Linked DNA regions of Caenorhabditis elegans. The protein of the gene in region 1 interacts with the protein of each later gene in a pairwise test. Each region holds a gene or a part of one and is shown on either strand. Other genes may lie near its edges. The genes, in order: metl-13 and swsn-1.

Region 1 (5,550 bases):
TTGGAGAGAGGAAGTTCCAGAAAGATGGCATTATCGAAACAGTTCGCGAATTGGAAAAATCGTTTTCGAGCCGCAAATCGGTTCTTCGATTTCGTTTTCGTGTACGAAGGATCTTATGGAAAAGTATGTGGTTTACAACCGGGCTGTGCGGCAAATTTTTCTGGCAAACGTAAACAATAGTAATGCAGAAACAGGTGCATTCTATCTGAAAATAATATTTAGCTTTGTTGAATAATTGGAAAAAAAACCTTAAATATTGCCCGAATGTTGTCATTTGCAGAATAACTTTTAACGGCACTATTTGAGACCTTTGTCAAGTTTTTCAACAAAAACAAATATCATTTTTAGATGGAATGGGACATTTTTTCTTGAATTATCATATTAAAAAAAGGCAGTTTGATCCGTTTACCGGAAAAAATATTACAACGATTAGTTTATTGAAATCAACTTTCAGGCAATATGGAGAAAACGGAACATTAAAATTCAATTCATCAACTCACGGACAAGATCCTGATCGTCCAGAGATGAGAGCTTTCCTTATTATGAGAGGCCCAGCGTTTTCTGAAAATTATACGGTATAAGCTAGGCATTTTGAGAACTGTATGATAAATATTCTTTCAGATTGCCGATATTCCTTCAAATGTGGATTTGTACAATATAATGTGTCATGTGCTTGGTATCACACCAACTGAAAATAATGGAACCATGGAAATTGTGAAACGAGCTTTAAAAGAGAACAGATATTTACCAATGACACATGGTTTCGTATTTAATCAGATTACGGTAGGTTATTCCACAGAGTATTTGACTCAATTCTAAAGCTTATCAAAAGCACATAATTTTTCTTCAGGATTCATGGAGTTTTTCGCTTATTTTAATTCCTTCAATGTGTATTGTTATAATATTCTTCGCTTATGGATGTAAGAATACCGTACTCAAATCTGATCCCAATTGGGGAAGATCCGATACAGTTCAAGGATATCGGCCATTGAGTAACCGGACGAACGAAGGATTCGAATTAAATGATGATGAGGATGAGGATGAAGGAGATGGATTAAGGAATTCGATAGATTTAGAAAGAGGTGGAAGAAGGAGTCAAGCAGGAGGTGGTGCACTTGGAAGTGTGAGTTTTATATTGAAATAATCGGAAAATCAAATATCGCTCGAAATTATTTTAAAGAAAAAATAAATAAAAAATTACCCGAAATGTTCTCAAAAATGTGTAGATTTTCAGCTGAACAATGGAACGGTAGCAATGTCTGGACTACTGGATGAAATGAGCGATGATGATATTTGATCTTTTTAATATAACTTTTTGCATTCAAATTGTAAATATTTCTTGTGACCTCTTTATATATTTCCCCCATTGTGCCTTCGATTTCTCTTTAATTTCTGCAGAATATTCAAATCACAAAGCAAAATATTTATCTCTTTATTTGTCCTAGTCATCCTTTCATCTCTTTTTGATTTTTTTCCCCGGTTGTGGATTTTCAGGATTTTCAAAATCATCCAAAGACAGTTTATCAATTTTCAATGTGATATATTTTCAAAAAAGATTACTTAACTTTAATAATGAATGTTTCTCATATTTTTTACTTCTTAATTATAATTTTATTTTCTTTGGTTTTCATTTAGCCTCATGTTTTATTTCGAGTATTTAAAATGATTATTTTTCTAGTTTCTATAGTTTCAGGCCATGTCCGCTCCAAATGAGCCACAATCTTTCACGGATCCAGCGTACTGGAAGAACTTCTTTGCAAAACGAAAATCTCCATTCGAATGGTAATTAAATAATTATATTTCTTTGTTAAAATATGATGTCTTTCAAACAAAATTAAAAGAAAATTATCACATCACTATCAAGTGTTTTTCAGATTTGTCAAAGAAAAATTATCAATGTTTCGAAAAATAACTTAAAATATTGACCATTTTTCTTCTTTTTAGATAGAAATTTTTCCTCATCAACATACACAAAAATTGAATGCTTTCGATTCTCATGTAAAAATTTGAATTCTTTCAGGTACGGTGACTATAATTCTTTATCAAATGTAATTGATAAATATTTGAAACCGAAAGACACGTTCCTTCAACTTGGATGTGGTAATTCGGAATTAGCGACCCAACTCTACGATAATGGATTTCATTGCATTCACAGTATTGATGTAGAACCATCTGTTATTGCCACACAGATTCGTAAAAATAAAGAACGACTCGGAATGACTTTTGAGACTGGAGATGCTGCTAATGTGAGTTTGGAGAATGTCCCGTTGTGCACAATGAACAATTAAAAGAAAAGAAATTCGAAAATAATATGTTATAGCTATCCATGGCCGATGAAGCACATACCATTGTAATTGATAAAGGAACTCTCGACGCTCTTCTTCCACCATCAGCTTCAGAATCCGATGAAGCATTGGTTACAAAGATGTTCGAGGAAGTTCATCGTGTATTGGCTTCTGGTGGAAGATATATCATTGTCACATTGGCTCAACCACATATCACCGAGTTCTGGATTAATCACTTCTATCCATTGTAAAATATTCATTTTTCTCAAAAATCTGTAAAACGTTATTCCAGAAAGCAATATATCCTACGTGTTCAAAAAGTTGAGAACAAGGCTTCTGGATTCCCAATGCCAGTTTTCTGCTTTATTGCCACGAAAATGCGAGCACCAATGCCAAATCCATTGGTAGGTAGATAAATTGCAAATTATTTTATTTAAATAAAACCTATATTTTTAGCCTCTAGAAGTTCTTCGCTCCAGCTCCATCCGTACTGATCGTATCGATAGCACTGACGAATTGAAGGATTCTATTCGTGGAGAACAGGAGCTCTCACAATTCATCTACCTGTGCTCGAAGTAATTCATTTTAGTTTTTCCCTTGAAATTAATGAAATTAATTTAGAAAGCTGGACTCTGAAGTTTCAATCGACTTTCATGGAGCAGATCCATCATTAGGACCACGTTATCGTATCTGTGTTGTTGATAATCCAGAAGCCAAGAAGATTGACACATTCGCCGCATTTGTGGTTCCAATTGGACGGTTTGTATAGAAAACATTTTTAAATTCGAATTCTTATATTAATTTCAGTGATTCTGAATGGCTATTCGCCTCACCAAAGGGACGAAAAGCTCTTCGTGTTCAATGTGGCCGCGAACGTCTCGCAATCGTTTTCCTCAACAGAAATCAAAAATATGAAAAAGGAATGGACGGTGTGAAGAGTGATATTGGACATTTTGTTGGAATGCTGGATGTTAGACAAGATAATACTGGAAATGTATGTAGAATTGAACACGAAACATATGAAAACCCGATTTTCAGTACGAAATTCTATCCATCGGAGGAGTCGATGTTAAGCGAACCGTTTCAACGGGACGTTCGGATATCAATGGTGGTTGGAGTGTTGAAGAAGTTACTGTTGAAGGAAATCAAACTAGAAGACTAGTTTTTCTGAATACGATGAATCTGGTACAATCTGAAGCTTATCTGAAAAGTTAGTAGTTGAAAATTTCATTTTTCAACCCCCTTTAAAGAGTAAAATGGATTTATTACAACTGAAAAATCAATGAAAACTGAGCAGCAACGAGATTTGAAAATTGCAGTATTGTTTAAAGGCGCACATCCTTCTGTATTATTTTCGGTGGAAAAAGAATAACATTTCCCATCTTGTTAATACACGAGAGGTAGTTTATCAGAATTAAAAAAGAACGGTTTAATGATGCTCACCTCAAAATTTAAAATTAACATTACAGCCGGAAAGAAGAAGCAAACGGTCATAGATCTCGATCAATTGGCATGCGATTTCCATAGAATGATGATCGGATCCCTAGCCATCAGTCCGCAACAACCATTAGCCAAGAATGATGCTCAGTGTAAGATGGCTGTTCTTGGATTAGGTGGTGGACTTTTGACTGCATATCTTGTCAGACATTTCAAAAAGGTATCAATCAAGTCTAGAAACTTAACAGTGCTAAATTTTCGTTTCAGGCTCATGTAACCGCTGTGGAACTTGATCCAGAAGTACTCAAAATCGCAAATTCTCACTTCTCGTTCCCCCATTCGGACGCTAGAATTGACGTTGTCATCCAAGATGCTCTTATTCATCTCCAGGAGACTGCAAAGAAACCTGAAGGTATTTAAAATATCATGTTCAAATTTTATTTTACAAATCAATTCTTATTTCCAGAAGAGAAATACGATGTGATTTTTGTGGATGTTTCTGGAAGTCAGAACGCTGCTCTTCAATGCCCACCATCCGCCTTCCTTACCCCAGAAGCTCTAGGAAATATGAAAAACTCGGTGAAAGAACAAGGAATGATTAGTTTGAATTTGGTTACACGCGATTCGGAATTCGGAAAGTCGATTAAAAAGAATATCGCAGAGTATTTCCCAACTCTCTACACAGTTCTGTCCTTCGAAGATGTTAATGAGGTAAACTAAATTAATTATTGAAATTCTACTAGCAAATATATTTCTTTCAGATTATCATCGGTCTCAAAACACCCAAGAACACAATAAAACCAGTGGTTCCTCAGAAATTAATCAACACAGTTCGCAAAGATATTGGAAGCTATGATGAGGTTGTCGGTGCTATCTCAAACATTCGTATGGTTGATTATTAATTGCACAATTTCGTTTGTTATCTTGTTTATTTTCAGTAATTTTTTATTATATGTATTCGATTGTTCCCAGTTATTCAAATTTTCCCCCGTTTGTTGTTTCGTTTGTTCACCTGATGAATTTTGTTTTACACTTTGCAAACATGTCTAATGTTCTCACGGTGCAGTGAAAAACAACTTTGCAGGAAAAACAACTATTAACAGCATATTCGATATCTCGACGCGATCCTACTGTACTTCCGATGTAGACTATTTGGAATTCCACTAGGAAGTTGTGCAAATTATCTGTATTTGATTATGCGGCCAAAACTATTCTATAATAACTTTGGAACTAAAAAATATTTTCCGTCACAAAATATGAAACTTTTAATTTTTGATCGTCAGTTTTTCTACAAAATAGTATTCATTTTGGTAGTGATCTGTACTGCAGAAATAGATTAATCTCTAAAAAAGTTCAGACAACGAGTAATTTCTATCAAACTGTGTTTTTTAATCTTTTAATTTTTATTTCCGCCTCTCACCGTGCGGTTATAAAATTCATAAGTTCACTTGTGCGGCCATCATGGTTCAAGTTAGTACTGTACTTTCTCTATTTCTATTGCTAATATGTCTAGTTGATTCCAGTTCTGAACCAAAACGTACAATGATAAGAAAGGTAACTAGGGAAATTAAAGCCTTCCAATTAGGCCCAAAAATGCCGGCCTACTTCGTACCTACCTCAATACAATGAACCGTTTTTTTCTAAACTTTCACTAGTTGAACTTTAATTTAATTAAAACAAACTACTTTATTTACATCGCCTTCTAATTAGATGCCTGCTTTTATATACAGCCAGACAATAAGAACCTACGATTGAAGTTTCACAGAATTTAAACTGCTCGAAGCTATTTTCTTTTCAGCCAGGAGCTCGTCTTGCAATAGAATACTAC
Region 2 (5,154 bases), on another chromosome or scaffold:
GCGGATATTTTCTAATAATGAATTTATCAATAAGTATTGATGTAGTTATTCTGGAAGAAATGCATCCGAACAAAAGAGTAACTATTAAGCAACATTTTAATATGATAAAATCTAGAAAAATTCTACAAGTTTTCCTTACCGAGACCTTAAAACTTATTAGCCGAGCAACATCGGATATCGGATATTACGGATTTTACGGATATTGGATAATGGACTTGCATATCGTTTATACAGAAAACTTGTAGAATTTTTCTAGGTTTTATCATATTAAAATGTTGCTTAATAGTTACTCTTTTGTTCGGATACATTTCTTCCTGAATAACTACATCAATACTTATTGATAAATTCATTATTAGAAAATATCCGCCCACCTCTGTTACCTATCGGTTTTAAATACCTTAATCGACGACATTAAATTAGATTAATTACCGATATATATGTAATAAAAGACGATAATTCCAAAAAAGCCAACTTCGGAGACAGATGTGACTCGGAAAAATTCGTGATTTTAGCTAAAATAAGTGTAATTTTTTCAAAATTTTGAACCGCCATAAAACAATTTTTAAAAAATTTAAAATTTTTGAGCAGTTTTATTACAAAATTCGTTCATTTGAGCTCATTTTAGGCTTCTATACGTTCAAAATCGTCCGAACCGTTTTTCCAATTTTTTGAATTGATCTCGATTTATCGCTCTATTTATCACTAAATTGTGTACTTTTTTTTGTGTATTTTTTATATTTATTCATTATTCACCATTATCATCATTGTGACGCTTTTCATTGAACAACAAAACAAGACATTTTTCAAATTAATTATCGTTTTTTCCGTTGTATTTTCAACTTTTTTGATGTGGTTAAATACCCCCCTCAATGCTCTATTTTTGCTCTTTTTCAGCTCGAAAACTGGAATTTCTACTGAAATTTACGTAATTTTTGCCATTTTTTCGCTGAAATTTGCTAGAAATCGCTAAAAAATGCGAATTTTTCGGAAAAAAAGCCCGATTTCCTCAATTTTCATCAAAAAAAGTTCAAAATAACTACAAACTACAGCTTTTTGGGCGCTGCTAAAACTACAAACTACAAGTTTTGGGCGCTGCTAATTCAAATTATAGGCGCTGCTAAAACTACAAACTACAGCTTTTTGGGCGCTGCTAATTCAAATTATAGGCGCTGCGAAAACTACAAACTACAAGTTTTGGGCGCTGCTAATTCAATTTTAGGCGCTGCTAAAACTACAAACTACAAGTTTTGGGCGCTGCTAATTCAAATTTTAGGCGCTGCTAAAACTACAAACTACAAGTTTTGGGCGCTGCTAATTCGATTTTGGGCGCTGCTAAAACTACAAACTACAGCTTTTTGGGCGCTGCTATGCTTGAATTTGTCAATTTTTTCGATTTATTCGAATTTTTTCGCTTAAAATCAATTTTTAATCAAATTTTCTTCAACTTTCCTGAATTCTAACTACAAACTACAAGATTTTAGCTCGATTTTTCTCAAAAATGCTTCAAATTTCGGAAATTTTCCGGGATTTTTCCCTGGAAAAATCGAAAATTTTCAAATTTCCTACAATTCCCGCTCTATTTTAGCGCTGCAAAATCCCAATTACCCCAAGAAAATCGATAATTCCCCCACCGTCCTACAGGTCCCCCCGTATTCCATTTTCTGAGCAGATGTTCATCCCGCGTTCTCTCTCTCCCTCTCCACGAGGCCTCCTTTCTCTGCGCTCTCTCTCGTTTCTCCACACTATTTCTCTCGTTTTCTCTGTTTTCTCTGGCGTCTCTCACTACGCGCGAGCTCCCTCACACTGCCGCCTTGTTTGAATCTACGCGGGCCTCGATATTTCGATATTGGACCAATTTCGACCAATTTTCTCGCAGTTTTTTGTTAAAAGTCTCTTTTTAAGGTTATTTAGTCATAATTTCATTGAAAATTTCGAAAGAAATTCCAAGAAAATACGAGATTTTTGCAGTTTCCACAGTTTTCTGTTAAAATTCTTGATTTTACAGACATTTTTCCTAGAAATTTTGCCGTTTTTCTGCTCACTTCAGTGAAAAAAATCGATTTTTTCGCAATTTTCTGCCCATAAATATGCTTTTTCCTCGCTGAAAACCCTGAAAATCTTTTCAATTCCCCGCTAAATTTCAGCAAAATTTCGTCGAAAAGTGGAATGAAGAAGGGAGCGTCGAAGCGGAGACGCGACGACGATGACGGTGACGTTTCGATGACCGGCGACGACGATGATAGCAGAAGTGGTGCCGCTGTGAAGGTTGAAGTGCCGAAAGGTAGCGAAATCTGTGTGGAATTTTCGGCGAAAATGCGGAAAAATAGCTCTGAAAAACGCATTTTTTAGTGATTTTCTCCGACAAAATCGAAAAAAATCGAGCAAAATCCGTGAAAATCTGGCTCCGGGCAGCCCGAATACCCTCAAAAAGTGCAATTTCAGCGTCAGAGCTCAAGTTTTTGCAATAACTGACTGGAAAACTTTGATTTTCTGGGAAATTTGCATAATTTTTCCATTTTTTCCGGAATTGAGAGTTGAAAAACGCAAAAAATTGGTTTTTTACACTCGAAAATGCTTTTTTCAACACATTTTTTACGCAAAAGTGAACTTTTTTTTTTTCAAGTTTCATTCGAAAAAGACCGAAATTTGAATTTTGGGCGCTGCTAAGCTAAATTTTAGCGAAAATTGGTCAAAATTCGAACATTTCCAGAGCGCATTTTCAAAATTTCTACTCATTTTTTGGAAAAAAAATCGGAAATTTAAATTTTAGCCAAAAATGGAATTTTTCAGCGCTTTTTCTTCAGATTTTCTTCGAAATTTCTGAAAAAATCGCATTTTTATCTGATTTTTCCAGAAAAAAACCAATTTTTCGGTCAAAATTGCATTTCAGGACCAAAAAAAACCAGATTTTTCCAAATTTCCTTCCTAAAATTTTTTTGGGCGCTGCTAAAGCTACAAACTACAAGTTTTGGGCGCTGCTAAACTACAAACTACAAGATTTGGGCGCTGCTAATTCGATTTTGGGCGCTGCTAAACTACAAACTACAAGATTTGGGCGCTGCTAATACAATTTTGGGCGCTGCTAAACTACAAACTACAAGATTTGGGCGCTGCTAATTCAATTTTGGGCGCTGCTAAACTACAAACTACAAGTTTTGGGCGCTGCTAATTCGATTTTGGGCGCTGCTAAACTACAAACTACAAGATTTGGGCGCTGCTAATACAATTTTGGGCGCTGCTAAACTACAAACTACAAGATTTGGGCGCTGCTAATTCAATTTTGGGCGCTGCTAAACTACAAACTACAAGTTTTGGGCGCTGCTAATTCAATTTTGGGCGCTGCTAATTCAATTTTGGGCGCTGCTGACCGATTTTGGGCGCTGCTAGACTACAAACTACAAGATTTGGGCGCTGCTAATTCAATTTTGGGCGCTGCTAACACTACAAACTACAGGTTTTTTGCGCTGCTAATCCAATTTTGGGCGCTGCTAAACTACAAACTACAAGATTTGGGCGCTGCTAATTCAATTTTGGGCGCTGCTAACACTATAAACTACAGGTTTTTTGCGCTGCTAATCCAATTTTGGGCGCTGCTAAACTACAAACTACAAGATTTGGGCGCTGCTAATTCAATTTTGGGCGCTGCTAACACTACAAACTACAGGTTTTTTGCGCTGCTAATCCAATTTTGGGCGCTGCTAAACTACAAACTACAAGATTTGGGCGCTGCTAATTCAATTTTGGGCGCTGCTAGACTACAAACTACAAGATTTGGGCGCTGCTAATTCAATTTTGGGCGCTGCTAAACTACAAACTACAAGTTTTGGGCGCTGCTAATCCAATTTCCCCTCAATTTCCAACCAATTCTCTTTTGCAGGAAAGGAAAAAGACGCCGAATTCAGCGCACCAAAAGGCCAAAAGCTCACTGATCTCGACGAAGAAGGTGTCCAATCAACAAAAGAAGCTCCACAACTCGCCGAAGGAAACGTCATTGAGCAGACCCACTACATTGTAGTCCCCTCATACGCCGGCTGGTTCGACTATAACGCAATTCATCAAATCGAGAAACGCGCAATGCCTGAATTTTTCAACGGAAAGAATAAGAGCAAGACACCGGACGTCTACGTTGCCTACCGTAATTTTATGGTCGACACGTACCGTCTGAATCCATTTGAATACGTGTCTGCGACGGCTTGTCGCCGGAATTTGGCCGGTGATGTGTGCTCAATTGTGCGGCTTCACTCGTTTCTCGAGCAATGGGGCCTGCTGAATTATCAAGTTGATTCGGATGCTCGGCCGGCTCCTGTTGCTCCGCCACCAACAAGCCATTTTATGGTTTTAGCTGATACACCGACTGGCATTCAGCCAATGAATCCACCTGGAAAGGAGTCTGCTGGAGCATCTGGGGAGCCACCAAAAGAGGAGATTAAGACTGAGATTGAGTCCATTTCGACGCCCGGCCTGAAAATTGATCAGTATCAGAAGCAGGCCATCGCGATGAGAGTGCGTACCTGGCGTCTGCCTTGGTTTTTCAGTGCAAATTTGAGAAAAATTGGAATTTTCAGTGCAAATTTGAGAAAAATTGGAATTTTCAGTGCAAATTTGAGGAAAATTGGAATTTTAGTGCAAATTTGAGAAAAATTGAAATTTTCAGTGCAAATTTGAGAAAAATTGGAATTTTCAGTGCAAATTTGAGGAAATTTTGAATTTTTAGTGCAAATTTGAGGAAAATTGTAATTTTTAGTGCAAATTTGAGAAAAATTGGAATTTTTAGTGCAAATTTGAGAAAAATTGGAATTTTTAGTGCAAATTTGAGAAAAATTGGAATTTTTAGTGCAAATTTGAGGATAATTGGAATTTTCAGTGCAAATTTGAGCATTTTCCGGCTATTTTTGAGCGAAAATCGGCAATTTCACACAATTTTTCATCGGAAAAATCGATTTTCACTGAAAAGTTTTAATTTTTCGACCAATTATTATGGAAAACCCGAAAAAATCCCTCAATTTTTGAATTTTTCATCAGAAAAATCGATTTTCGCGAGAAATTTTCTGATTTTTCGGCCAATTGTCATGAAAAACCGAAAAAATCCCGCAGTTTTTGAATTTTTCAACAGAAAAATCGATTTTCACTGAAATTTTTCGAATTTTCAGTGAA

The links.
Region 2: the proteins of metl-13 (region 1) and swsn-1 interact in a two-hybrid assay, tested with the Caenorhabditis elegans proteins (3 studies listed by BioGRID).

Annotation. Positions count from the first base shown.
Region 1 is NC_003282.8:6,633,396-6,638,945, forward strand, and holds metl-13 (Methyltransferase domain-containing protein), read left to right. Parts: upstream 1-1,693; 5' UTR 1,694-1,696; coding exon 1,697-1,782; intron 1,783-2,020; coding exon 2,021-2,246; intron 2,247-2,320; coding exon 2,321-2,532; intron 2,533-2,577; coding exon 2,578-2,689; intron 2,690-2,741; coding exon 2,742-2,860; intron 2,861-2,906; coding exon 2,907-3,044; intron 3,045-3,092; coding exon 3,093-3,279; intron 3,280-3,323; coding exon 3,324-3,495; intron 3,496-3,754; coding exon 3,755-3,942; intron 3,943-3,989; coding exon 3,990-4,134; intron 4,135-4,188; coding exon 4,189-4,433; intron 4,434-4,483; coding exon 4,484-4,624; 3' UTR 4,625-4,760; downstream 4,761-5,550. Other genes in the region: C01B10.9 (Bis(5'-adenosyl)-triphosphatase), read left to right, coding at 1-123, 455-575, 622-783, 851-1,123, 1,235-1,297; C01B10.7 (TransThyretin-Related family domain), read left to right, coding at 5,184-5,276, 5,521-5,550.
Region 2 is NC_003283.11:20,246,473-20,251,626, reverse strand, and holds the start of swsn-1 (SWI/SNF complex subunit SMARCC2), read left to right. Parts: upstream 1-2,144; 5' UTR 2,145-2,166; coding exon 2,167-2,281; intron 2,282-3,877; coding exon 3,878-4,503; exon of another isoform or gene 4,504-5,154.